7 linked regions of the Kluyveromyces lactis genome follow. The protein of the gene in region 1 interacts with the protein of each later gene in a pairwise test. Links are inferred from orthologs where the notes say so. Each region holds a gene or a part of one and is shown on either strand. Other genes may lie near its edges. The genes, in order: KLLA0_E15511g, KLLA0_F17545g, KLLA0_C17380g, BUD14, END3, LTE1 and SST2.

Region 1 (3,990 bases):
AATATAAAACAAATTAAAATAGTTGAAAATATATATATCTAAACAATACATTCTATTTTACACGGTTGATATTATTAAGAGTCTATAGTGTTGCTTCAGAATGAAGTAGTTTCTTTTTGAGAGTCATGACATCGTCTTTTAGCGAATCACGTTCCTGTTTGATAATGAATAATTCTGCGCGAAGGTCGTTTATCTTTAATTGATAATGAGCATCATTCAAAGAACCGGACGAATCATCTGCTTCCTGGTTAATCGTATTCTCTAAATCCGATTTAAGTCTTGAATTTTCTTGTCTTAGTTTGATAATTTCATTCTGCAGCTTTTCCATCGCATTCCCAGAATTGTGAACAGAGTCAATAACTGACCTGTACTCTCTTTCCATCTTGGTCAGTTCTTCATGTTTTGAGGCATGCTCATCCTTCAATTTGGAGTATTCTGTGAACAACTGGTCCCTGGATGTAGTCAGTTCTTTATTTTGAAGAATTACTTCGCTTAACTTGCGATCAAGACCGGTCATTGTTTCTTTATGCCTGGTTACAACTGTTTCGTGAGCTTTTTGTTTCTGTCTCATGCCATCGAGCAAAGTGTCCAACGATTCACTACATTTTTTTATGTTTTCATTGATGAACTGTTTCTTCGAATCGAGTTCTTTCGTGAGAGACTCATATTTCTCAGATAATACGATATACTTTGATTCCAAATCCACATATTTCTCCTTATTATCGACTTCTGATTGTAGCTTGGCAATTACTTCTGTTTGGTGCTTAATCATGTCATTCAAGTGACTTAATTGGTTCAATTGCTTTAATTCTGTATTTTCTAGTTCCAATTCCATTATTCTGCTGTTTGCACTAGTAGCACTGGTCACAGTATCCTCCTTCAATTGCTTCAACTCTTCAAGTAATTCTTTCAGAATGTTGTTTTCATTCTTTTCAGAAACAATACGAGCAGGTTCACTTAAAGTGACAGGGCTTTTATCAGCGTCAGTTATTACATCTATGGATTTATCGAAGTGCGTCGTATCTGACAAGGAGTTAGGTTTAGGCGAAGGCTCAGCACCTGTGTTATGCATGATAGATGGTGAATAATTTTCATAGTCCGATGAGGATCTCAAGTTGGTTCCAACAGCGTATTTTTTTACATCACCTTTTGTCGGCGAAGTTCTATACTGAACAACTTCTACAGACCCAACATCAGGATCAGTGTCACTTTGCGTCTCTGAACTTAACTGAGACTGCAAGGACAATACTCTTGGAGGATCTGTATTGGCATCTTGTTGTGGAACTGGTGATTTTGGTTTAGGAGCAGTAGGTCCGAGGACGCCGGACTCAGAGCGTTTTCTAACTGCAGGAGTTGTGTTCACCGTTTCTGGTACATCTGGTGATAGAATTGAAGCTTGTTTGTTTTTCAATTCATCAAATCTTCCATTGGATTTCGATAATGGCGTACTAAATTTGTCCAGGTGATCAACATCATCGATCTTAAAGATGTCAGGACAAAACTCATTCAAGTTTGTTAGGTCCAAAGTGTAAATAATGGTACCGGCTCCCATGTCGACATCAGAAGTGCGTACATCGGTGCTGTTACCAACAGCATAATCAAACTTGTCACCACCCATGATTAGCAGTTTATTATTTGATAACAGAGTGAGAGAGTGTCCGGATCTTGCTCTTGGAATCATATTATTAAAAGTTGGTAGTTTGAACCATTTTAGACTCCTGAAGTTTAAGAAATACACGGCGTTTGAATAATTGTCCTGCGCATCCTTCCCACCAAAAACACACATTAAATCGCGGTATATGATAGCAGCATGCTCTTGTAATGGCGGTGGGATGTTTCCTGTAGTCTGCACTACACACCAATCATTGGCAGCTGGATCAAACATAAAGACTTCGTTAGTTAAACCTTGAGGAGTATCACCACCAAATACCCACAACTTATGATCAAACGAGATCATCGTGTGGTTAGCCAAGGGTGGTGGCATGAAAGTTGCCGGTTTAATAAATTCCCAGTGAGAATCAGATCTCCGGAAAGATGAGAGGTCAAACTCTGCTAAATCATTAAAATAGGTATCATCAAACTGACCACCAAACACATAAAGTTTGGTTTTCATTTGGTTCGCAGCAATTATACTGATTTTGTGACCGTATCTACCAAGTGGTCTAGGTCCTTGAGGTGTTGGTATGGTCCATTTGTGAGAGTTGATATTGAACAAATATATGTCATCGTCCATCAAACCGGCATCATTCACTTTATGAGTGTCACCACCAAAAATCACGAATGCGTTCCCACACAGTGTGGAGGCATGACCGACTCTAGGAGGTGGAGTAGCATCTGCAATGGGAACTGTAATAGACTTGAAACTTGTAGCGTTGTCCAGTGACTTGATTATCCATGTATCTCCATAAACCGATTGGTCGTGCAAACCTCCGATTACAAACAATTCTCCACTGTCAGTAGCATATGAGCTGGCAACATGCCTATATCTGGGGAAAGGGGACTGCTTTAGTCTAATTCTATTCCATGGCGTGAACACCTGCTGCTGTAGGGTACTCTGAGTGGACGTAGATCGTTGCTCAACAGGACTGACCATAACGCGTTGTTGAGCCGCAAGTAACCCAGAATCTGCAGCTGGTTTTGGATAGTTCTGTTTGGTAGGTGTAGAACTAGATCCAGGAGATCTCAATTCTTGTTGAAAGCTAGTGTTACCAATAGTGCTGTTAGAATTAGGTGTTGTATTTGGAGATGCAGAAGCATCTTTCCGATTCTTCTGTTTCTTTCCAAATTTGAATGGAGCCATTCTTGTGTTTGTAACCGTCTAAATACGCAATACCAGTTCCTTAGCAAGTGATAAATCAGATATGTGATATGCAAAGTATTTGATTCCACTAACTGGTGTAATAAAGCCACTGCTGGGAACCTCAAGCTGTTACGCACTGCAAAAAGTTGCAGCCGTCTGAACTATTTCTGGTAACTTCAAGTTTACACTGTTTCATTTTCATAACAACACGAAATTCTGTGAAAGACTGAAATTATCATTTCAATCAGTAACTTTGGGGCTTGATTTTAGTGTACAAGTTAAGGATAAGGGTAAAAAGGCTGATCTGACCGTAGTAAGAAGCTAGGCTTGAATCAAATTAGATCTTTATGTGTACGGTTTGGGTATAAACAATGGATAGAGACGTATTGGAGAAATTTATAGACCTTCAAGACAAAGAGAACGATATTGATACTAAGAGTAAAATATATCATGAAGTTACGGACAGAGGGAGCGTTACCCCTACATTTAACCAAGGATCCAGCGGTATGAGTCCCAAGTCTGTGGGGAGTTCCGGTAGAAACAAGAACATCCAGTTGCAATTAACGCCTACCAAGGCTGATCCTACTAGCACACTTGACTCGCATCCGTTGAAAGGTGATAATTCAGATCAAGACGATATCACTGGCAATATGAAGGAGAACGAGGACGATGTATCATTGGGGTCCGGTAAAGTCACCGTAAAGAACAATGGTAACGGGGTTTCTGCTGCTACAAATGGCAAGGGAGGCAATCAGGAGCTAGGAATACGAAGAAGCAACACATGGAAAAGAAAGTCTTTAATAATGCCATTAATGTCTCCAGAGCACACAGTTAAGCAGCAGCAACGTCAATCATATCAGCAGCATTGCAAACCATCAGAGTCTGTATCGAATACCCCGCTGGGACGGAAATATCGATCAAAACTTGACCGAAATGACGGACAAAAATCTGTGCGGTCCAGCATAAGTAGCATTGGATCACTTCTCCCGGATGGAGCCACCACAGAATTTAGCGCAAGTCCAGCTACTAAATTGAAGTTGCCTACAACTACGACCGACACCGCCAAAGTAGTGCCATCTGTTTCTGAAGATGATAATGATATGGAATCTTTGTTGCAATCACTGGCGAACAAGGAACTAGAGATATTGGAAAGGACAAGGCGAGTTCACGATCTTTTCAGGCAAATTAAG
Region 2 (4,034 bases), on another chromosome or scaffold:
GGATTCTTTTCATTTTGCTTCAAGAATCATGTACTTGCTTCTGCAACTGTTCTATCAGTAGATCTTTGGACTGCAGTTGCGTCTTCAGCTCATTTATTTGAAGGGCGAGTTCGTTAGGAGATGGCTTTATACCATGTTGGTATAATAAATTCTGTTCTTCTGCAATGAAACGTTTGAGCCTTTCTTCGTTCAAATTTTGAATCAACTCAACAATCTTTGACGATTTTTTCCTTAATTCCGTTTCGAAATCCAGTAGAGAAAGAGCCTGAGGTGACTCTGGTTCCTTCGGATTCTTTGATTCTAATTCACTTTCTAATCTACCTTCCCTTGCGATAGACTCGGCTAATTCCGTGGAAACCAATTGTAGCTCTTGCATCAACATCATATTTTGTTTCAAAATATTCAAATACTCTTCAGTGATCAACAGGGGTTGTTTGGGATCCTTTTCAGAAGCAAAAGATGGCTTATATGGCAACGCGGAAATAGGTTCAGCCTTCTGTTTTACATATTCTTTCTCAAGACAAGGCACTTCCTGTATCTCTGTGCTTTCACCAATAATCATCGACTTACGAATTTGCAAAGTTGATCTGTCAAATGTCTTTTCCTTATTACTATATTGGTCGTGGTGATTACCAGCAGATGACGCGGAAAAAAGAGAATGATATGATATTCTACGTTTATCGCTGGATGCACCCGATTTCGCCCTGAAAGTATCATTTAACTGGATTTCGGATCCTTCATCTACTGCCATCGAACTCCTGCTGCTTCTAGCGGACGAAGGTACAGTAGTGAGCGGTCTTTGATCGCCACTCTTCGTCCTTTTGATCTTCATCAAAAAGTTCTTCGCTTTCTGGAAACTGCTGCCTGATTTCTTCAAGCCTTTTTCACCAGAACATGCGATATAGGAATCATGTTTTGATTGTAGTACTTCGTTAGTATTACTATTCCCACTGTCGACCGCCGCATGGGCTTTTGATACAATTGATTCAGTTCTATTGACGTTGTCGCCAAAGTTTCGACTGGAAGAGTTGTCCGAGATTTCAGGATTTAATATTGGTGATAGATCCACGGGAATATTTTGTATCAAGGCGGTGGATGGCCTGAGATTTATGTCATCATTCAAAGAATCTTGCTGGTTGCTTTTCGTTTCCGAGGAATCCACTAGGTCGTATTCCTTTTCCGTTTTTTCCTCCTCGATCTGCAACACTTGTCTTGCGGGTTCACTTAACGTTAATATATTCAATTTCACCAATGAATCAGAATCATATTGCTCATCGCTATGTGAATGATCCTTATTCCCGCTGTAGGTTTGTTGATCTTCTTCTTCCTCGTTAAAGCTAGGAAGAGCCTTGTCTTTTTCAAAGTCCTCATTATCATTCGACAAAGTGGCATGTAGTTGGTATTTCACCGGTGATCTTGGCAGTGATGGTATCTGATTTTGTTCATCGAATGATGCGTTCGAGGGAGTTGTCGGAGAACTTTGTTCAGAAACCCTACCAGAAATGACGCTATTCACACTGGCATATGAAGAGGATGAGCCCGATGCCGCCTTATTCACCAGCTGCTGTGGTTGTGGCGGAGGGGCTAATGAGCTTGTTGCTTGTCTTTCATTGAATACATTATCCTGCGATACATTTTGTTTTGGTTGATAAAATGGTTGCGGATACGATTGAGTTTGCAGGGACATGGCTCTTGGACCAGAGTTTGGACCATATTGGGAGCTACCAGTAACAGGTGGACCTCTTGCCGGCACTGGTCCATTAACTTGACCAGGAAAACCCATGTTACGGGATCCTGTTGGTGACGCGGCATACGGACCTTGATAACCGTTTCTAAACTGTGAATTTCCGTTCATTTGAGTTGGTGGACGTCTGTCAGCAGTTAACGACATTGTGCGTGGGTCATTTGGAGGACCTTGTTGGGGAGGATACCCTGGTCTACCAGCCATCGGCGAAGCCCCCCCTCCCATCAAAGAGTTGAATCTGCTACCGTTTGGAGGCCTAGGGATTCTTGATTGCTGAGGGCCTGCTGGACCCATCATTGTTCCCGGGCCAGAAACACCAGGCCTTACCATAGGACGTTGATGATAATTTTGCAAGGACATTGTTCTAGGACCACCTGGAACTGAGGCACTGAACTGCGCTTGCTGCTGCTGCTGCTTCGCAAGACTGTTAAATGCCATTTTCTTTTGATTCATCATAAGTTTTCTATATTCTATATTGTTCATTGAGTTTGTGTTTCCGGAAGTCACGATGGTCGGTATTATTGGAGAGGTATCATCTAGATGTCCACCGTAACCGTATGCGTGCCCACCATTGTTTCTCATGGAAGAAATATCATTGAATGTAAGGAAAGAGGAATCATGATCCGAAAAGTCTGTATTATCGTCATCCTCATTAGCTTTTTCGTCATATTGACTGTGTCTCTTTTGATTGAGTTTCTTGTATTTACCCTTGAAGAAATTAGAGAAGGAAGCAGTAGAAGAACTCATGGATGATTTCCTACTACTGTCTCCTGGGTAATCAAAATGTGGTCTTGGTTGCATCTGCAGAGATTGTTGTCGAGGCTGTTGCATGTAATTATATGACGAAGGGTTGTAATTGGACTCGTACTGCTGGGCTTGTAACGGAACTACAGGTGGGGCCATGGGGCCTGTATTTCCCTTCTGCTTGTTTATCTGCTGCTCCTTAGTAATATCAATATTCCCTATATCGCTGTGAAGTAACTGGTTCCGCAGCTGGGCCTTGGAAGACATGCCCGCTCCACGTCGTTGATCAAGCGCAGTAACACCGGCATCCATATTCCACGATCAGAAAAGGTTAGAAATAAAGCACAACCTACAAGAAACGAAAAGATGGCTAGTTGTAAAATGAGCTGCACTTACGTATAGAAAAGTTCCTTTAACAATGACAAACAAACAATCTAAGGACTTACCTCTAAGTTGTTATCAAAAGTCCTGATGTACCAAAGAAGCGTTCCAAAATCGGTAGGGAATAAGTCAATTACACTCGTACTGTGGATTGGTTCCTCTGGATTATAAATTCTGCCAGAACCTAGGCTAAATGACTGTACTAGAAAGAGAATAGATAAAAGGAAATACAACCTATTAATAGTGACTAAGTCCAAAACTCAAACTGATTCCTAAATTGTTTGAACAGACCTAAGATTCATTTACTTTCCGTTCATATTTTTTTTTTTTTCTCAAAACGAAATCTGAATGCCATAGAAGTTCCGAGCGAACATGAAATGTATGGATTATGCATGAAACAATAACGAAGAGTGAAAAAGGAAACGGAAGGCAGCTATTTAGGATGTGCCTTTACACAACGTTGTATATAATAGATCGTAGTAATCTGACGAAATAATGGCTTCTGCAACCTTTGTATTTGAATTAAATTTTATATGGTTCCCAAATGTTACAAGTCTATGCAGTGGTTATTGCGTTTAAAAATGATTTTACTTACTGTCCAATGTAGTCTAATCAGAAAGTTGCTCAGGTGAGAGAATGGTTTATCACCAGCTTAAGCTCTTCTTGATTTTGTTTTCCTTTTTTTAGGTGTAGATGATGGTTTAGGATCAGGTTTCGCAACACCCTCTAGATTTATCTCTTCAGAGGGCTTGGAAGGCTCAGTCTTATCAGTCTTTTTAGATTCAGCTGTTTGTAGATCTTCGTTGGTAACAAGCTTTGTGTTTTGTAATTCGTAGATGAACCACGTCACGGTGATCCATAGTAGAGTGGCGATAATCGTTAATGCGATGAAATGGATATTTTTGGTTAAATAGATCTGCGATCCCAACACGCAAAGCAATAGTGCAAACGAGATATGAGTAGCAATGATCAATTGAGGCGATGTTCCTGGTTGGAAAATGCTTTCCCACAGTGCAACAACAAAGTTAGTCATTCTTGAGTGTCTCAGGTGAATTTCGTTTTTTATAGTGGTTGGCAACGGAGGATTATAATATGCTGTACTAGAAATCGATGATGAGCCTGGAGTAGAAATCAGCAAGGTATAGCCAGAATGCAAGTGAACAAG
Region 3 (3,955 bases), on another chromosome or scaffold:
TTTTGTTGGCATCGACGGCCTTCTGATCGTCATTAACTTTTGAATTATCAGAAGCAGTTACTATAGGCCTTAATGGAGAAATAACCAATTCGGCAGTAGGTGATGGGGATGGCTCTTTTTGTTTCAAAGTTGGAGTAACGGCAGGGATAGGAACGAGTTTTATATTCTTTTTGTTTACAGTTATCGAAGGTACAGATTCAGATTCAGATTTAGCATTTTCTTCAGATTCAAAATTGAATGACTTCTCATTTAAGTCGACATCCTCTGTTGAAACTTCAATAGGTTGTGGATGTACCACTGGCGAAAAAATTCCTTTCAAATTTTTTTCTTCGTTGGTTCCGTTTTCTTCTTGTAGATGCTTTTGCTTCATGGTTTGTCTTAACACTTCATATGTAGAATTCCCATCGTCCTCCTCCTCTACACTTTCGCTTTCAGTTTCTTCATCATTGCTGTTGTATATGTCAGAATTAATATTTTGCAATAGCTTTCCCTTTTCTGGAGATGATAACTCAAAAGGATTTGGGTCTTTAAAGTCAGAAGGAACAACTGCTGATGATTTTTTGGCAAGTGGCGAAGTAGGTAGAAGTGAATTGCTGGCTGAAGCAGACTTAATTGCATCAATGGTCTTCAATTCTCTGCGTTCGATTATAGGAGCATTGCTTTCCGATTTGGAATTGTTATCCAGAGGTAATTCTAACTGCAATATATTCTTGGATTTCTTTGATGCGTTATCTTTCTTCATACCCCCATTAAGCATTGCTGTAAATAAGCCAGTTCCAGAGGGCTTTCTAACTGAAACAGGCCTTGATGACGCGTCGTCGGTATTTTTTTTCTGGGTAATTTTCAAAGGTTTGACCGGAGACATTTCAACGCTATCAGCCCGAGAAGGAAGAAGTGATGGTTTGTCTAAAACACTTCCCTCGTGTAAACCTTTAGCAAAGTTATTCGAGGTTTGTCTATTTTGCATGGAGAGGCCAAGTGGACTATCCAGTTGATCACCAGATTTATTTGATGTGAATATTTCATCGTTATTGGATCCGCCATTTACCGTCTTAACCAAATCATAGATTGCAAATGAGATTTCTGAAACAGAATTTTCAAGAATAACTCTTGATAATGGAGTTTTATAGCTGCTGAAGTAACGCACAGATGTGATAGCATGTGATATTGTGTTCTCTAACACTAGTCTCATGGTCTTTGTATCTGGGGAGTGAACTAAAGTTAAAATTTTTGAACAATATTCTGAAATGGAAGCAATGTTCTCGAATAAAAACAAAACTGGAGGTTCAGGTGACACAATGAGGCTTAGTATTTGTGATAACTTGGAATCCAAGTCGTCGATGAGATTTGACGGTATTATACTAGTTTCAGGGAAAAGTTGCTTGTTTGAAATGGGGGCCATAGAAGAAGAGCTTGTTCTGACAGGTTTTTCAGCAAAAGCGTCTTCATACTTTGATTTCCAATAGGCAGCATCCTTCCCTGATTTACCGTCAATCGATTTAACTGGAGACTGTATATTTTTCAATTGCAGCTGAAGTTCTAGTTTTTCTTGTTTGAGTTCTTCGTTTTCTATTGACAGTTGATTTAGTTGAGTAGTCATTTCGGACATTCCCTTTTGGAAATTACTATCTAGAGCTTTAGTAGTACTTGATTGGTCGGCATTCTGTTTCAATTGCTGAACTTCTTCTGTTAATCGTTGATTATTGGTCTTCAATTCATCTAATTGATTCAAAAGTTCTGATTTTTCTCTCTCCAAAGTTGTAATGGTACTGTCCAACTTATTCCCTTCCAGAACTAATAGCTCTATATCACGATCTTTGTTACGTTCTACCGATTGAGACAAGGATCCCATTTTATTTTTATTACTGGTGAAAGGCGACAACCCAGCACTTGCAGCCATTGCTGTAGTGGCAGCAGTTTGAGCCAATGGAGTTCTAGCCTCACTGGATTGTGATAACGGTCTCTCTGAGAACGTGAAATGGTCATCTATGGAAATCGGACTTCTATTTCCCACAGGTGAGGAAGCTGTAGGTTGAGGTGGGCTTTGTGTTTCATCTGGAATAATGACCGGGGACTGATTTAGTGAAAACGCTCTATCTATCTTAATAACGTCATTGTCTTCACTAGCTAATTCCTTCTCATCAGCTTCTGGTTTGTGATCCTCTTCATCTGAACTCCAGTCGATTGATGCTGTCTTTGGAATGACTGTAGAAGTCTGCAAAGTTGCATTAAGTGCAGAATTCTCATCTTCTGGTAATTTTTCCACCGACGTATTATTTATACTGCTAGGTACAATTGGCGATGGCTTAGAATCAAGTACGTGTAATGCAGGAGAGGAGACCTCTGCCTTGTCATTCGAATTAAAATCTTCATCAGTATCAGCATTTGGGAATTCCTGATAATCTGCTTCTTCTGGTTCAGGTAACGTGTCAAACCCACGTCTTCTGATTTCGAAAAGAATATCATCGACCAAATCATTAAATCTCGCATTGGATAAGTTCGCCAATTTTTGTCTTGCCTGGTTCCTCTTTGCATGGAAACTTTCATTAGGAACTAAATAGTCATGTTGTGGCTGTGATTCATCAATTCGTCTTTGCAATTCGTCGCTGACGTCAGTACTCAACTCGAAAAACTGTGACGAAGAAAGTTTTAACAGCTTTGAACGTGCTTTCTGAGCACGCGATGTCATTGATCTATCATGGCTACCACCGGTAACCTCAAAGAATTGTTTTAAAGCAACATAATAATTATGGATCTGCACTTTTTGTGCATATTTCAGTTCCTTAGCACCCTCTTTCATTTGGAACGGTAAAATGAAAACAAATTATCAAACAATGGTCAATTAAGAACACGTATTAATGTCAATTGCAATTGTCACTGAGGACACTCGTTTCAAGTATAATGGTCAAAAAAGGGAAGTGAAATCGAAGAAACCAGTGTGTCTGTAAATAACTCAATTCGATACTTTCCCAAGTTTAAATAATTGACGGCCTTCTCCTTTTAAGACTTGTATCGTCTTTACCAAACCGCTACCGCTGATTCACAACAACTCGCACTTATTTCGTAATGATGAATACTTGATTCTATACAATTGACTTTCTTTCATGAAGAAGAGTTAATCCACTGTTTAATTCGAATTGAAACAAGATTCTAATTCCAATATTTCAATTTCCATACCTAAGAACTCATCGTTTTTTCAGCCAAAAGAAAAAAAGCGTTCTTACTACACCTCGTTCTTCGTGATAACGCGTAATTTTATTGAAAGTTTGGCGTTTTCTTTCACGTGATGAGAAGAAAAGAGAATCGATAAAAAAAATAAAAAAGAAATGCTGCTTCTGTGGATCGAACACAGGACCTTATGAACTTCAGTCATACGCTCTCCCAACTGAGCTAAAGCAGCGATTTCTGTTGGAAATACAACTCTTCGGATACCAATACCTTGGTGATTTGGGCAAAATGTATGCTAAGCATCGCACTTACGAAAGCATTGCAACAATGAGTGTGAGCAATTATAGTATAGCATTGAATTATACTAGAATATACATGCATATTATTAGGTTTTGTTTTAGTATATCTTTTTCTATTATATACATCAAACTTTTCTTGGTAGTCGTCCGATTGTCAGTAGACCTTTCAAGAGTTCCGGAATCGTGACGTGTAAATGCAATTCACCATCGTCGTGACCTGTCTTTGCAACCATGGCGAGCTTGTCACGAGCTATTAGATACCCACGAATCATCCATAGGAAAAATGCAGCTCCGAAATATCCCATACCGGAGAAAATGGCTGTATTCACGTATTGGTTGGCAACTGTTGGATCGTTACTACGTAGTCTTAGACCAATGATTGGGGAAACAATGGACATCATGCCGATACAAGGCCAGGTGAAAGAATAAATGGCTGGTAACTTGTTAAGACCACCGATTCTGGAAATGATACTTGTTTGTAATGGCCA
Region 4 (4,004 bases), on another chromosome or scaffold:
CTTTGTGTCAGCGATGATTATACCTCTTGATTTGGCAAAGTCTTTACATTTTGTGTACAATTTTATAGCCAACTTCTCGATTCTGTCACATAAGTCTTGACCGACCAATCGAGCTGCCTGTTCCGGAGAAATATTTTCGTCGTGCTCACCTTGTTCTGCTTTAGTAGAAGGAGTGAAGATAGGAGATGGGAATTCCTGAGATTCCAGTAAACCTTCTGGCTGTGGTAAACCATGGACAGTACCGGTCTTCTTGTATTCTTTCCAGGCAGATCCTGTGATAAATCCACGAACGATGACTTCTAATGGGATTAATTTGTGTTTTTGAACCAACAAAGATCTTCCCTCCAATTGAACTTTGTACTTAGATTCTGAAAGCTTTGCAGGTAATTTGTCAAAGATGGTTTCACCTGGACCTAATGGTTTCAAATGGTTGCGGACATCTTCCTTCAAGAAATCAAACCAAAATTCGGACAACTTGGTCAACAAGATACCCTTTTCTGGAATTGCATTCTTCATGATGACATCGTACGCAGAAATACGGTCAGTAGCGACGAACAACAAAGTTTGATCATCGACTTGGTAAATGTCTCTAACTTTACCTCTAGCCACTAATGGTAGGATACCGTCCAAGTTGGTTTGAGTGATGCTTGTCGTGTTCATGATGATCCCTTTTTTTCTTTTCAATTTCAATCTCCGCAGTAGTAATAGTCGGAAGCGAGTGAGTAATAGTACGTGAATCAGCTAATGCTTAGATGTGATAGTTCTCTAACATCTATCAAATATTAAGTGAAAAAGTGATTATACCGCTTTGCAACCACCTAATTTGCACACGTACTTACAAAGCTGGCTCATCTCATTATATACATCGCATTTCAATTTTTTATTTCTCATGTCTCGAGGGAAAGTAATATCGAAATATATCGAGATATGTCAAGTCAAAAATCATCATTTAAACACGTGACTGATATATTCCACGTAATGCTAAAATAGTAATCCGGGTAATGAAATATATTTCGGTTTCTCTTTCGCATCAGTTCCTTTTTCGCATAGCGAAGTTTCTGACATTCACAGCCGTTAGTCTTTAGTGATATACATTTAGAGATACAGATATGGTGGAATTAGTGAGAATGAACATGAAACGAGACAGAGAGGGAAAGGTGTATAGCGTACAGTAAAGGTCGTTCGACTTATCGAAGCTAGCACCTATACAAAAGGCGCAACAAACCATTTTAGAAGGGTTTTCAGGGGGATTTTCCGCTCTGGATAAAGCACTAAGAGGCTTGAAACAGCTTTTAATTCTCTTGTTTTTGGTGCAACATTTTCCACTGAGGTTTCAGAGATATATTTATACACGCGTTACTTGGAGAAAAGTATTATCAGCTTCCATCTCTGAATCCTATCTGTGCATTAACTGCTATTATACCACTCGAGTTGTATCGTATGATGGATTTGGAGTATCCTAAGATGTCAGGACTCGCAGGTCTGGGCTCTGGCTTAAGATCACGGGAACGATCAAAACCTGATCTATCGATATTAACTGATCCTACACTGGTTGAGGATTTCGATGAAATCATGAAACAGATGCGAAGCCTCAAGAAGGACGAGGAATCCCTGAGTGTCAATGCTAGTGTTGTGATAACGCCGACTGAAGCACATGCTAATGACGTAAATCGTCAAAAAGTTGACTATGAAGGTGTCCCGGATCTCGGTGATTTACAGTTGGAAGATGAGGAGGAAGAAGAAGAAGGAGAAGAAGAGTTAGCACAGGATATCGATAATGAGCATGATACCAGTTTCAGTTCGCGACATGGGAACGAGCTGCAGGATTCAGATTATGCATATTCAGATTCGGATTTTGAAGATAATTTGGAGGAGCGGTTAAGAAGTTTAGAGACTTCTTCTCAAAGAAACAGCGGAGAACATGTTTCTTCTGTGAAAGGGATAGTTGCAAACGATACATCGAGTGCTATTGATAATAACATGGTGGCAGATCGTGCGAAAGAAGCAAGAAACGGATTGGAGCAGAGATCATATGACGATATTGATGATGACGATGATGAGGCAGAAGAACAAGATGACAACGACGAAGAGGACTTGAATATAGGTTGGAACACTAATGAATCTGATGATTCTGATGAGCTGCAGCCGTTAAATCCGCCGCAAGAATTAGACCCCAGCAAATTATATGCATTATACCCGTTCCAGGGACCTGATCCATCACATTGCCAGTTGGAACAGGACGAAGGTTGTACTCTTTTGAATGACCAGGACTCTTATTGGTGGTTAGTTAAACGTTGCAGTGATGGGAAAATAGGATTCGCGCCTGCAGAACTTCTTGAAACGTTTCCTGAAAGGTTAGCTAGACTGAACTGTTGGAAAAACGAAAATATATCATCACATTCAATTTCTCATAAAGAGGATTCAAATTCAAGCAAAGAATCGAATATTTTGAACAAAGAAGATAGTATTGAGGCAGTTGAGTCCCCGTTGAACGCATACTCAAAAACTAATAAATCGGTTAGCTTCAATAATGTTGTCAGTTATGCTGAAAGATATATTGATGAAATAGAGCAAGAACCATTGGAGGACGACAGCGGAGAACTGAATGGTGCAGGAGAATACGTTCATGATGTGGAATCAAGAGACGGGCAAGACGGGCATCTACACCTGGGAACAGATCTTGGAACTCACTTAACACATGTCGATGAAATACATGAAACCCTTCTGAATGATCATTTGTCAGATGATGTAAGCGAAGTTGTAAGTGATGCTGCCTTCAATGTCCATGAAATGGCACCATTAATGGTGCAAAAAAATAGACCTTCAAAACCTGCCTTGACGGATCTGTTGTCAGAGAAACAAAATGATCTAAAACAAGTCTTTCAAGCTCCCACTATGCCAGTAGCAGCACCAAGAGGTACTTCCCAAATGACAAATTCAAATTCAAATTGTTCCATATCTACAATCGGAGAATACTCGCCTTCCTCTTCAGACTGGACAAATGATTCACCTCAGTTGCTAAGTGAAAAGGAATTCGAGAAGTCTAATTTGAATGATCAAATCCCATCTTCCAGAGCTATTCAAGATATATCGAAAATTGTAAGCTCGCAAGATGCGCCTGATTTGAACTCTCTTCATGATGAAGATTCTCTGCAACATAGTGAATCATTGCCAAAAGTAACTCATAATCACCAGCATTCGATATCTACACTGAATGCTGTAGATATCAACAGTTCTGTCGGGACAGAAAAAACTATTGATATTGATGAAGAAAATAGTATCTTACCAGATGAAAATACAAACGCTTACAGCACCGTTCCATCCTCTATAGCCTCAAGTTGCATGGACCATGAACACAACTCTCCATTAATTTCTGAAGTAGCATTGCATACAAGCACTGGTGTAGTAGGGGATTATCATCCAGTGATTAACTCCTTGTACAACCCTATTTTCAGCAAAATAGATGTTATGATGGACAAGATAGAAAACGCCATCTCAAACTGATATTACCTCCATTCAACGCATTATGTAGCTAACTTTTATAGAGACATAACCCAACAACAGCAATCACTATTGCTTCAGTAATCTGTCTGTGCTCATCTCCTGTTTCAGTACCGAAAGAATAACACACGTGACCGCAGTACTGCATTAGACTTTAAAATTTTTTTTTGGTTTGTTAGCTCATCGCAGAGATATCAAATTCACTAAAAACATTTGAGCAGGAGGAAGCACGGATATTGCTGATAAGGAAGTGGTCAGTACCGTGGAGACTCCATAAACAACCTTGAATCCCAGTATGCCATGGTCACCAGATAACGAAGGACTAACTCAACTTTGTTTGACATTACAACATGCTGTTTCAACTAATTCTGATGAGAGACAGCAAGCACTCGATGCATTGGAAACATTCAAATTAGAACCACAGTTTGCCAATTATTTATGTTACATTTTACTTCATCTTGAGGAAATGGATCAGTTAAGAGGTACTGCAGGTATTCTTTTGA
Region 5 (3,066 bases), on another chromosome or scaffold:
CTGTTGACACAGTAGGGCAAAATGTTGAAGGTAAGAAAGCACTTGCTGTAGAATCTTTTGCAAAAGCCCTAAGACAATTGCCTACTATTCTTGCGGACAACGCTGGTTTCGATAGTAGTGAATTGATCACAAAGTTAAGATCTTCGATTTACAACGGCATGAGTACATCAGGTTTGGATTTGGATAACGGCACCATTGCTGACATGAGAGAACTAGGGATCGTGGAAAGTTATAAATTGAAAAGAGCTGTAGTAACCTCAGCCAGCGAAGCAGCCGAAGTCCTCTTGAGAGTGGATAATATTATCAGGGCTAAACCAAGAACAGCCGATAGACAGCACGGTCATATGTAAATTAATTAAATTAGTACTAAGCAATCACCACAAACGTTTAAATTTCGTTCTAATATCCAAAAAGTTAAGCTAAGAAGTGAATTATCATTATACATGAAACAACGTAGTTCAAAATTTACTCCAGAAAGTATATAGGGTAGGTCAATAACCTCAGTAAAGAGATTGCACCTCTATCTTCAAATTATGCAGTTCCGACTTCTTTGTTTTCAGGTACTCCTCCAACATTTGTACTTGCTGCTCAATACTCTCTATATCATCCCTCAAACCTCCAACATCAACGCTTTCTGAAGAAGTATTGGAATTATTGACAAGGTTTTTTTGGTATTCCAAGAACTGTTCTAACTGTTGTTTTACTAATTTCATTCTATCATTTGAGTCATTATGAGAGGTGGATTGTTGCTGTGCTGACGATAATTCAGAGTCAATATTTGCCAATTCCCTTTGAAGTCTGACTACTTCCCAATCAGTTCCCTGAGTAACAGAAAAATCAGTACCACCACGTTTTGGTATTTGGTAAGATGAAGAGTTAGATGTGGATAGTGTTGGCCTTCTTACTTCGCTCTGCTTGGAAGACAAATCCGTGGAAACTCTAGTCTTTGTAAAAGTTTCTTTCAATGCTGAAGGTAAATGTGATGGTATTGGGCAAGCATAGTCGTTCACTTGTCTCAGAATATGAATAAAGTATAGTGCTGGATCCTTATCTATGGAAGTGTCAAGCTTAGGATTAACCAAACGCCACGTTTTTTCTAAATCTTGAGATGATAGATTGATATACTTCGATCTAACGGCGGAGGATAGTGAAACATAAGATACACTATTGTCTCTAGAGGTTATGGCTGATTCATAAATTGATTCGTATTGTGACTTATCATCTCTTGATATATACCAATCAACTTCTTTTTGATAATCGTCTACAGCTGGCGAAGATGTCGGAACATTGACCACAGAACTTGTTTCTGCTGTTCCGCTACTACGTTCAGTTTTTCTTTGTTTGACTAATTCGGCTTTTGAACCGGGAATCAACCAATCTGGCAATTCATCTGGTACAGAATCTATGTTTTTATTAACCATGTCAAATATCATTCTCATACAAATCACAAACTCTTCAAAATCTAGTTGATCATCATCATCGATATCGGCCAAAAACCATATTTTGTTAAGTATCGAGGTGTCCAATTTAGAATTGAAAAGGATAGGCAGTACTTGATCATGGGTCAACTTATTTTCCACCGGTTTCAATCCGGAGAAAATTTGCCAATACTTTTTGATCTCAAATTGTTCAAGCTTTGGCATCTTAAATTGGTATTTGAATTATCTGTGGAGTCAAGCGCGATTAAAATAGAGGTCAGATATCAAATTAACACTGAGCTCAAACGTAATGTTTTCTTTGAAGTATGCCTGCGTTACTCACAATCAGTCAAAGAGACAGGAACAAATAAAACAAGAATATGTTATACCTGCTATCGCTCTAGCGTGTTCTTCGGTTTGAATCGTTTGGAACCTTATCTACTTCAATAAATTGCAATTTAAACCTTTTGGATAGTTCATCGTATTGATCTTAACAGTAATATCACCCATTTCAGTGCTGAAAGAAAATCAAAATTCCATTGACCTACATTACAAAAAGGGGAAGTCACGTTATACGTAACACACGTGACCTTGAATAATAGTCAAACAACCCCTCACGTGACAAGAATTTGTATCTGTTTTTTTTATATCTTTTTGGTGGATGCTACTGGTTTACCCGGTGTTCGCGTTATATCCTATTTTGGTAACACATTTAGAGAAATCGCGAAATGTTTTAAGGATGCCAAAAGAAGAATTATAAGTGAATCTTCAGAACTTTGAGGTAGGTGAGAATTTGGGGGACCAGAAGTAGAATGTGAGATGAAAAAAGCTAAGACAGGGTTGTAGAGGATTTCGATTGTTTCCAACTGGCCCGTTAGTTTACTGAGAAGTAATACCAAAATATAATAATGGTTTTTCCTGTCTTGCAACTGTGATATTTTTGGTGTCTTTCAATTAATATTCATATATTTCACGAGATGAGGGCTCCCGCCTTAAATAAAACAAGATGTATTCTCAGGGCCCATTCGTTTCTTCCTCATCTTAACGGTTCTGCAATCCAGTAACGCTTTTACGTTATACTATCCATTAACTTTTGAGATAGAAGGAGCAGCACTAACTGTCCGATCGCTACGTTGTTCATTGATCCATTCATTCACTCCTTGACAGCCTTCATCTGAAAGCAATAGCAGAGAGAGAATTAAGAGCTCAAGAAACGCATACAAGGAAAATTGGAACTAAGTTTACTCATAGTTGTTCAACTGGACTTTAGTTTTTAATTTGGAATAAGAGAAATTACACGAACGGAAATTAGTTCATTATACAGGGTTTAGGGTTATGAAGACTGAGTTGCTGTTGTCTTCGGCGCTGTCACTTCTCTTTGCCGTCGCATCAGCTTCTGTATACGAAGCTTATCCTATTAACAAACAGCTTCCACCAATTGCAAGAGTTGACGAGGATTTCCAGTTTAAAATCTCTAATGACACCTTTAAATCAACTAACGAAGGATCCGTTCAAATATCATATGAATCTTCTGAATTGCCAAATTGGCTTTCATTCGATAGTAGTTCTTTGACTTTTTCAGGTAAGGTCTCTTCCGACTTCCTTGATGATAACGAAGATACGAAATATTTCGACATCATACTTAAAG
Region 6 (4,107 bases), on another chromosome or scaffold:
TATCAGTGTCTGGGGAAAACAGGTATTTGTTATTCTCTGGATTCAAGTTTTCAACGTCTTCCTCGAAAATGTCATTAGTTGCCTGTTTTTCTAGATGATATTTCTCTCTCAGAGTTGTGGATTGTGCGCGATTTGGTTTACTAGCAATCGACGTGAGATCAAAGGATTCTTCTGAATCACGACTTCCTATTGACTTTATACTTGGAGTCTCAGAAAGCTTTGAAATAGGTTGTTTGCATAATACTGGCGTAGGGACATCGGGATGCTCCGATTTCTCTTGAATGACATCAACTTCTTTGATTACCAATTTTTGGGGTGAAGCTTGGGCAGAACTAAACAGCAAATTTGTGGAGATGCTTTGAGAGTCCGAGTCGTTACATACTGAACCTCGGCTGACTGTAAACTTTCTGTCATTATCATTTAGTAAGAGAGATGTCGTCTCTTCTAATTCCGATATAATGTCCTGGTTTGCAGCCAAAGCTTTATCTCTTTCGATAAAAACTTCATTGCCCAAAATGAGAGGAGATTTAGGGAGAATGGACCTCAAAGAGTTGGGAGAGGCAACACTGTAGTTTCTTGTTATACTAATTCTGCCACTTGTGGGTCTTCTAATTTGGGCGTTGTTTTGACATTGGGTATCAATTTCAGACGTACTTTCTTCATATGCAGTTATTAACGATGCAATATCTTCATTTTCGTTTTCATACTCATCTTGGATAGCATTATCATTTGCATCACTTTCCATTGAAGTTGCACTCGTCTCCGTTGCTTCTCTATTTTGTGGTGAACAGGATCTGTCATCTGTCGAATCAGATTTCTCGAAATTGAACCTACGAAGGTCATTAACATTCAGCTTTCTTTTCAAAGTTGGGGCAGATTCCATGAAAATATTACTACTCCCTTTATGTTGACTCAAGATATTCCCAGAAGATGAAATATCTGAAAATGCAGAGTCATAAGTGACAATAGAAGTAATAGAGTCTCTTTCACCGTTATATTCTCCTATGTTGTTCAGGTTATTTGCAAGTATGGCCTTCTTTGTAGGAGAGTTCCTTGTCGGATCATGGAAAACCAATCTTTTTGGACTGCTGTTGTCATTGGTATTAGGTAGTCCCATTAAGGCATTCGTGATGCTGTATCTAGAATTATTGTAAGAGTACAGCATTGGTGCAGAGTTTCTTATATTTTTCCTCTCAAGGGCCGAGGTTGAAGGAGATAACAGATGGGTAGTTGACTTGTTTGTTCTGACATTCAAAGTTTTAGATAGCGATATCACTGAGTTAGCGATTGATGAAACAGTTTTGTAAAGGTTAAGATTATCAATAACACTATAATCCTGCGATTCATCCTCATTTGTTTCCAACTTAGATATTTCAGTGGTTAGTTTTTTAGCTTCTAATTTTGCTAAAAGATCACTTTCCACAGAAACAAGATATTCTACCTCATCAATAGTTCTTGCACTCAAAATATCAAACATAGAAGAAAGCGAATCGGGCAATGGATTCGCATGATTGTCCAATGAAGAAATGGAAAATACATATTTTATTAGATTTTCAACCCTTGGTGGGTTTTGGACAGGATTTACAGTTGGTTTTCTTTGATGATTTAATTTCCATTTAGACAATAGACCCAGTATTCCTTTGTGATTTGTGTTATTGCCATTTACGGTATTCGTCGAATCTGAGCCATTAGATTGTTCTGGAAGATCTGTTTCCATGTACGACGTCTGCAAGATAAACTCTATATTCTTCGCTGGTGTTGGTGGGACGAAGATGTCCACTGAAGGGGTTGAAGGGTATTCCAAATCTTTCATCATATAAGAAACGTTAGTGACCCTGGACAACTGCGGTAGGATATGTTTGTTATCTTTCGAATTCTTGGGGTCTGTTATTTCTCTCTCCTGTTTCGGAGTGGCCTCTGGCGAGACTCCTGAAGCCGTTAGTTTTTCGTTAATAGAAAGTCCGTTGGAAGCATTTTCTGGGAACAAAAGCATTGATCCAGTTCTCTGTTTGATACGTGTGCTCTGTTTCTTGGATTCATCTTCTGATTGTTGTGGTAGAGGTATCTTCTCTCTGGTGTGCAATAACGAGAGTAAGGATTCGTTCCTGAGTACCGGGTTGTTTATATTTTGTAATGCAATAAAGCTAAGTCGCTTCCCCTTCGTGCTTCCTTCACCTGTTTCCGAAGAAGAACCAGACGGTACGTCCTCTATTTCCCACTTGAGCCAATCATCGCGCGATACAACGTTATTTTCCACTATGAGATTTTCTAAATCCTCCCACATAATTTGAACGTTCTGAACCCATAATTTTTTTAAACTAATTATAATATTGTCCAGGAACCTGTCAACTGGAGAGTATCCGTTGATGAATTGAAGGAATTGACGACGCAACGACGTGTCGACGACAAAATCTTGTGCGAAATAGTTAGACAGCCAATGCCTTACCAGCACAAACATCCGTACCAGTATAACCTCGGATGTAATTTTCTCTTGGGAACTAGGGTCAGATTGACGCAAGTCAATCGCCCATTGGAATCTCTCTTGAATTAGATCCAGCAATTTCTGAGAACTCATGAAATTTCTGTAGACTAGAAAGAAATCCGTCAGCATTGAATAGTCGACTTTATCTAGCGGCGATGAGAGCTGCACTAGAAGTGCAGGAAGCGTACATTTAAGAATTCGTACTGTACCATCGCGTAAATCTACAGTCAGTACACTTTCACTAGGCACAGGGTACAATTCAGGTCGACTAAATAACGGCACAACGTTTTCGTCAGCCTTTTCAACGACCTCAGACATAATTTCTACTTCACTAGAGTTCTCTCCTCACTAGGCTCTTCTTCTGTACTTTCTTCTTCAAATTGTAAAAACAGATCAACGGTGAAAAGAAAAGATAAACAGTTCTTGTGGTTCAATGTTCGATGCGTTATACCAAAACAGGAAAATATTGGTAAAACTAATCCAAACACTAGGCGGGTGCCTCAAAAAATGATACGCTCACTCCACTCTTTTTCCCTTGTTTTTTTCCTTGTCTATCTTGAATCTCTTTCCCACTTTCGATTCTTTACTAAAAAAACATATTATTGATATTTTGGTTCTCATGACAGAATCACCATTGTTTATGTTCATTTTTCACAGAATTTCGCCGTATCATCGGTGCATTTGAGGTTTGTAGAATGCCTTTCGAGAAGTTTTGAGTTGAAGTCTGGGTAATGAAAAACATTTCCCAGTCACGTGGATGGAAACTGGATTGTATATCTTTGTCCACGTGACTGATATTTTCCCCATGCTCACTTCTGGTTCTCTTTCCCTCGTTTTGAATTTTTTTTTTTTTGGGTTGTCAAATTCCCGCCGCGCATTCTCCGGAATAAATGGTTTAGGTTGTTATCTTATCAATCCCTTTGAAGAAACAGATGATTAAACGAAGTGCAACCATCATGAATGCAGGGTTATACCTTTTTTGCCGGGCAGAATTTAGAGGTAACAGTGAGACAGCAATAGGATAACTTGTTAAACTGAACTGTCCGGTTTTTTCCTTTCAAATGGGGACCTCACAAGCAATAAAAGTCCGTCATAATAAGACCGTTTTCAGACAACAGGGCCCAAGATAAGGAGAAACAGCCTGGTTGTAGTTGGAAATATGTAATCGGTATAGTTTTTCAGACCTTCATGTGGAATCCTGATATGGGATTCGAGGGGACAGCGAGTTGCCTATTTGGGAATTGAACAGTTCTTCATGCACATGCTTTCTTTCATGCTGATGTGAGCACGAGTGGTAGTTTGACCGGCCCCTGAGATCGCTGTTGATTGCATAACAGTGTTTTAAGGTTATAATGGTCGTTTGTTGCTAGCAGCGTGCGTATTTTCAGTTTGTTCCCCTAATTATTTCTTGTTCCAGTGTCAGATAGGGTTTGAATTTTGAGCAGTCGCCTGTTATCTGCTTATGCATTTTCGTAGAGTAACAGTGTTACCTTAATCTCGGGAATGATATTCGAGGGTGATAACGGACCTGTGATCAAACACTTAAGTTTTAGTTTAGTACAACCACAAAGGTTAAAGTTCAATCGCTCTTCACTTCCAATCATAGTGATTTTTGTTTGTTGGCG
Region 7 (3,879 bases), on another chromosome or scaffold:
AGAGCAGATCGTCTAGTGGGTCAAGTCGTTGGTGCTAAGGGCCATTTGCCATCTATCTACACCGATATCGAAATTAACTACTTCCTATTGCGTCGTCTATTAGGTGTAAAGACCGATGGTCAAAAACAAGCAAAGGTTAGAAAGTTAGAGCCAAATGAAGTTTTAATGGTGAACATCGGTTCCACCGCTACTGGTGCCCGTGTGGTTGCCGTCAAAGCCGATATGGCAAGATTACAATTAACTTCCCCTGCATGTACAGAAGTTAATGAAAAGATTGCATTATCTAGACGTATCGAAAAGCATTGGCGTTTAATTGGTTGGGCTACTATCAAGAAGGGTACCACTCTTGAACCAATCGCTTAATCTGTAAATTAACTAAATGATTTTATATATGTCTATATGTATATATTGTCACATTAATGTTCCATTTTCTTGGTAGAAAAGGCCACATTCTTTTGCAAGATGAATATCTTTATTCTTCATGATGAAATGCCTAGGTTCTACTTGTTAGCAGTTATTAATGAAATTGCGTCCCTATACGATTCTGTTGCCAGGAATTTGGGCAAAGAGTCGTTCTTCATCATGATAAATACGGTATTTCTGATTTTTTCCAGTAACTGATACAAATCCTTCAACATTGATATAGCATGAATAATGACGTATGACTCAGTACCCTTATTAAGAGGTGTCGGCGCCAATGGCATTGACGTGTTACTATGGGATTGTACTTTATGCTCCACGCATTTCTTCCGGGCAGCAGGATCGAGGCTTAAGGGTCTATTAACAGATGCATCCGAAATGGCTCTTGAACAATTTTCCTTGCCTGAAGTGTCGAACGCAGTTTTAGTTGGAGACTGAGGGTGGAATATTATTCCAGTAATTGTTTCTCTAACGTTATGATCAATATTAAGTTGATACGGAGACCCCAGTGCAATATAAGAGGAGTAAATATGGTAAACCAGCGAAAGGCATTCGCTAGTTTGTTTTAAAAGAGCTGATTGAATTGTATCTTTCAGTTTAGTACTACCACCAGTTTTCCATTCCCTTAGATCCATCTTATTGTGTTCGCTCTGGTTTCGAGACTCAATGAGTTTTCGCAGAACCGACATTCTTTTTAAAAACTTCGTTATTTCAAAGTATACGTCTAGGTTTTCTGCACACATGTCTTTGCAAAGATGCTCTCTAAAAAGATATCGCATCCCAGGATCAGCCAGAATTTGTTTGAGAGACAGCAACTTTAAACCGTCAGGATTATAATTATCGTCCCCAGTACCTGAGCTCGAACTTGAATCCGAGCTTACATCATAGTTCGACACCATTACATTTTTGGTTCCAAAATCATGTCCGCTTTTGAGCTGAGAATTACCTGGGAGTGAACGACTGGAGAGTTTTACGCTGCAATTAACGCCGCCATAATTCTCAGTATCCGTTCCGATTTTAACCCCGTCCATGAAATGCGGAATCTTGGGTAGCCCATCTACTCCCCATTGAATTACGTCCCAACCGGCTTGGGTCAATGTATAGTGTGCTGTTTTTGAAATTAGAAACTTTTTCTTGCTGTTTTGACTGGGAGGTAATAAGATTGGTGTAATTAGGCCGTATTTCAGAAAGAGTGCTGCAACTGCAACACATTCTTTAGGGTACATTATATCAGTACATTCCATCAACCATTGCCAAAGGGCTTTTGTGGTGAAACAGTAGTCAATAAACATTCCTTTTCCAAAAGTTTTGTTCCCGAACAATCGAAGCCCACAATCACTCACATAATATTGAATGTGAGAGTCAGAATCTGGATTTGAAAAAAATCTATATGCAAACGGAGATTCTCTGTCCTCATCTTCAAGTTGTCGAGAGTTTAACGAATGTAGATTGTTTTCAGTATGTTGAGACTGTGAATTTCCTGAAACATTATTTTTAGGGTTTTCACCAAGCTCGTTTACGGCGAAGTCTGGTGACACATTTTCAAATGAGAAAACATCTGAGCTTCTTTGATCCAATAAGTCAGAGAGCTTAGGAATTTTATCTGTTGGATTTTTTGGGGACCATATATTAGGTTTTGGACCCATGACCTTGTTGAACAATAGATTTATGAAGTATTCGCTTTGAATGACAGAATCATCTAACGTATTTCGCTCGAACTTGAAAAGATTCATCGTATTGAAGTTTGAAGTTAATATTGGAGGCAGCTCTTTCAATGCAAACTTCCTGGCATAATCACACGTTACGGCCACCCCTTTAGGAGTCGGCTGCAAAAGAATGTTCTCTTTTGGCCGACTTCTTGTCTTATCCGCAGGTGTATGTAGTAATTTAGCTTTCATAAAAGTGTTCAATAGCTGGTATCCCAGTTCTGGTTTGATGGAATAACTGATGTAGATACTAGTGGAATTCATTTCCACATTAAGCTCCAGCTCCTGTAGTAGATCAATAGCCTCCGTAATTGAAAATGTGAACGGAAAACTTTTCTTAGCGAAATTCAAGAGTCGATTGCTACTTGATCTTGGTTTTTCCTCCAGCGGAAGACATATTATCATAATAGAAAATACTGTTTTCAGTTCATGAGTTAATATTGAGCCATCGGGTGAGCGGTCGAAGCTATTAGAAAACAATTCATGCAGCGTTTTTTCCTTTTTATTTGACTCCGAGACCATATTATCTATTCATAAGAAGAAGTAAATCAAAAATAACAAAGAGCGCGACAGTACAACATGCATATACCTCCTGGTATAAATACAGCTAAACCCCCCTTTAATTCGTGAAGCGAAGCCAACAGTCTTTACGTCTGAATAAATTCGAAGTTGTCAGTTCTTGGTTTTGCAGTAACGTACAATCCACATAAATACCAACTGCAAGTATCACCTCTCGAGAAGTAGGGTTGCTAACATTTGTATCGAACGGCTCAAAGCATTCCTGGTGCTCTATATATAAAGGCAAATGTTGATGATCTTAATGGCTTGTTTCAGATTATCACGGCGTGGTTATATCCTGGTTCACCCAGTAACGGATCTTTTGAAACAATGTTGAATTGTTTGTGATCAAATCATTTTCCTTTTTCCCTTCCAGCGTGTTTTTTGGGCAATATTGACATGAAACATGCAAAGTTCCGGTACAAACCTCAAAATGTCCAAGAAATAGGAAAATGAAACAATAAAGCTATGATAAGATCGGTGGAATTATTATACCGACATTCTAATCGATACTCAAACACAGTGTGAAAATGAGGCACTGTTTGCCTTCTTTTAATTATTTGTGCAAATCGGTACCTATTTGCTTGTTGGAATTGTTTATAGCAAACACATCGAGCATCAGTTGAAACGTTCGAGGAATTTCTGTGATGCACCGCCAACAAAGAAATTACCCCAGGGTTCAATTCTGCTGGAAAGTGCATAACTTAATGACCATGTTTAAATTGTTTATCAGTATATTTAAGTTGCTGCTTGGTGATTATTGACGTGCGTAATTTTGATTTGGTTTCCAAATCTGGATACATCAACAATGAATTTATACCAGCAAAAAATCTTCATCAGCCATAATTTCCCTTTTATACGTAATGATATCATTCACAGACCACATATCATAATCTGGTTAGCACTTTAATGGATGAATTTCTGGGATACATGAAGAGAAACAAACGCACTTTCCCTCGTAAACTATCTATATACTATTTAACAATCTCGAAGCAGCAGGCCACTTTGGGGAAAAAACATGTCAAGTTGGGTTTAAAAAGTAGAAAAGTACCAGCATAGTTTCAAGCCCAATTTAAATTTAATCAATAGTAGTCTGCAACGTCTTTTGGTTTGACATTGTTGGAATGCGATGACTTGGAATCTTTTTGCGTAGATTGTGAGCTACCATGGCCAATGGTCCCTGGATTTTCAGAAG

What was found.
Region 2: the proteins of KLLA0_E15511g (region 1) and KLLA0_F17545g interact in a protein complementation assay, tested with the Saccharomyces cerevisiae proteins (2 studies listed by BioGRID). The link is inferred for Kluyveromyces lactis from reciprocal best matches to the Saccharomyces cerevisiae genes KEL1 and EPO1.
Region 3: the proteins of KLLA0_E15511g (region 1) and KLLA0_C17380g interact in a protein complementation assay, tested with the Saccharomyces cerevisiae proteins (2 studies listed by BioGRID). The link is inferred for Kluyveromyces lactis from reciprocal best matches to the Saccharomyces cerevisiae genes KEL1 and SPA2.
Region 4: the proteins of KLLA0_E15511g (region 1) and BUD14 interact in a two-hybrid assay, tested with the Saccharomyces cerevisiae proteins (2 studies listed by BioGRID, with this or other methods). The link is inferred for Kluyveromyces lactis from reciprocal best matches to the Saccharomyces cerevisiae genes KEL1 and BUD14.
Region 5: the proteins of KLLA0_E15511g (region 1) and END3 interact in a two-hybrid assay, tested with the Saccharomyces cerevisiae proteins (2 studies listed by BioGRID). The link is inferred for Kluyveromyces lactis from reciprocal best matches to the Saccharomyces cerevisiae genes KEL1 and END3.
Region 6: the proteins of KLLA0_E15511g (region 1) and LTE1 interact in binary tests that used the Saccharomyces cerevisiae proteins (3 or more experiments, as listed by UniProt). The link is inferred for Kluyveromyces lactis from reciprocal best matches to the Saccharomyces cerevisiae genes KEL1 and LTE1.
Region 7: the proteins of KLLA0_E15511g (region 1) and SST2 interact in a two-hybrid assay, tested with the Saccharomyces cerevisiae proteins (2 studies listed by BioGRID). The link is inferred for Kluyveromyces lactis from reciprocal best matches to the Saccharomyces cerevisiae genes KEL1 and SST2.

What each region holds. Positions count from the first base shown.
Region 1 is NC_006041.1:1,387,436-1,391,425, reverse strand, and holds KLLA0_E15511g (uncharacterized protein), read right to left. Parts: upstream 2,801-3,990; coding exon 83-2,800; downstream 1-82. Other genes in the region: TDA11 (Tda11p), read left to right, coding at 3,172-3,990.
Region 2 is NC_006042.1:1,609,820-1,613,853, forward strand, and holds KLLA0_F17545g (uncharacterized protein), read right to left. Parts: upstream 2,801-4,034; coding exon 20-2,800; downstream 1-19. Other genes in the region: PKR1 (Pkr1p), read right to left, coding at 3,522-3,902.
Region 3 is NC_006039.1:1,523,561-1,527,515, reverse strand, and holds the start of KLLA0_C17380g (uncharacterized protein), read right to left. Parts: upstream 2,801-3,955; coding exon 1-2,800. Other genes in the region: KLLA0_C17336g (MCT family MFS transporter), read right to left, coding at 3,593-3,955. UniProt on the Saccharomyces cerevisiae protein: Involved in pheromone-induced morphogenesis and efficient mating, perhaps as a cytoskeletal protein.
Region 4 is NC_006039.1:388,372-392,375, forward strand, and holds BUD14 (protein phosphatase regulator BUD14), read left to right. Parts: upstream 1-1,440; coding exon 1,441-3,504; downstream 3,505-4,004. Other genes in the region: ADE1 (phosphoribosylaminoimidazolesuccinocarboxamide synthase), read right to left, coding at 1-660; KAP104 (Kap104p), read left to right, coding at 3,797-4,004. UniProt on the Saccharomyces cerevisiae protein: Important for bud site selection. Seems to be a regulatory subunit of the BUD14-GLC7 type-I phosphatase complex. The BUD14-GLC7 complex is necessary to regulate microtubule dynamics at the cortex and may function as a specific activator of the dynein complex.
Region 5 is NC_006039.1:982,694-985,759, reverse strand, and holds END3 (End3p), read right to left. Parts: upstream 1,644-3,066; coding exon 501-1,643; downstream 1-500. Other genes in the region: chaperonin-containing T-complex subunit CCT2, read left to right, coding at 1-350; AXL2 (Axl2p), read left to right, coding at 2,754-3,066. UniProt on the Saccharomyces cerevisiae protein: Component of the PAN1 actin cytoskeleton-regulatory complex required for the internalization of endosomes during actin-coupled endocytosis. The complex links the site of endocytosis to the cell membrane-associated actin cytoskeleton.
Region 6 is NC_006037.1:362,629-366,735, forward strand, and holds the start of LTE1 (mitotic regulator LTE1), read right to left. Parts: upstream 2,801-4,107; coding exon 1-2,800. UniProt on the Saccharomyces cerevisiae protein: GDP-GTP exchange factor for TEM1, a Ras-like protein, component of the mitotic exit network (MEN).
Region 7 is NC_006040.1:894,780-898,658, reverse strand, and holds SST2 (GTPase-activating protein SST2), read right to left. Parts: upstream 2,649-3,879; coding exon 501-2,648; downstream 1-500. Other genes in the region: GCD11 (translation initiation factor eIF2 subunit gamma), read left to right, coding at 1-363; cyclin-dependent serine/threonine protein kinase SGV1, read right to left, coding at 3,767-3,879. UniProt on the Saccharomyces cerevisiae protein: Desensitization to alpha-factor pheromone. Is involved in regulating the signaling pathway for responding to mating pheromone.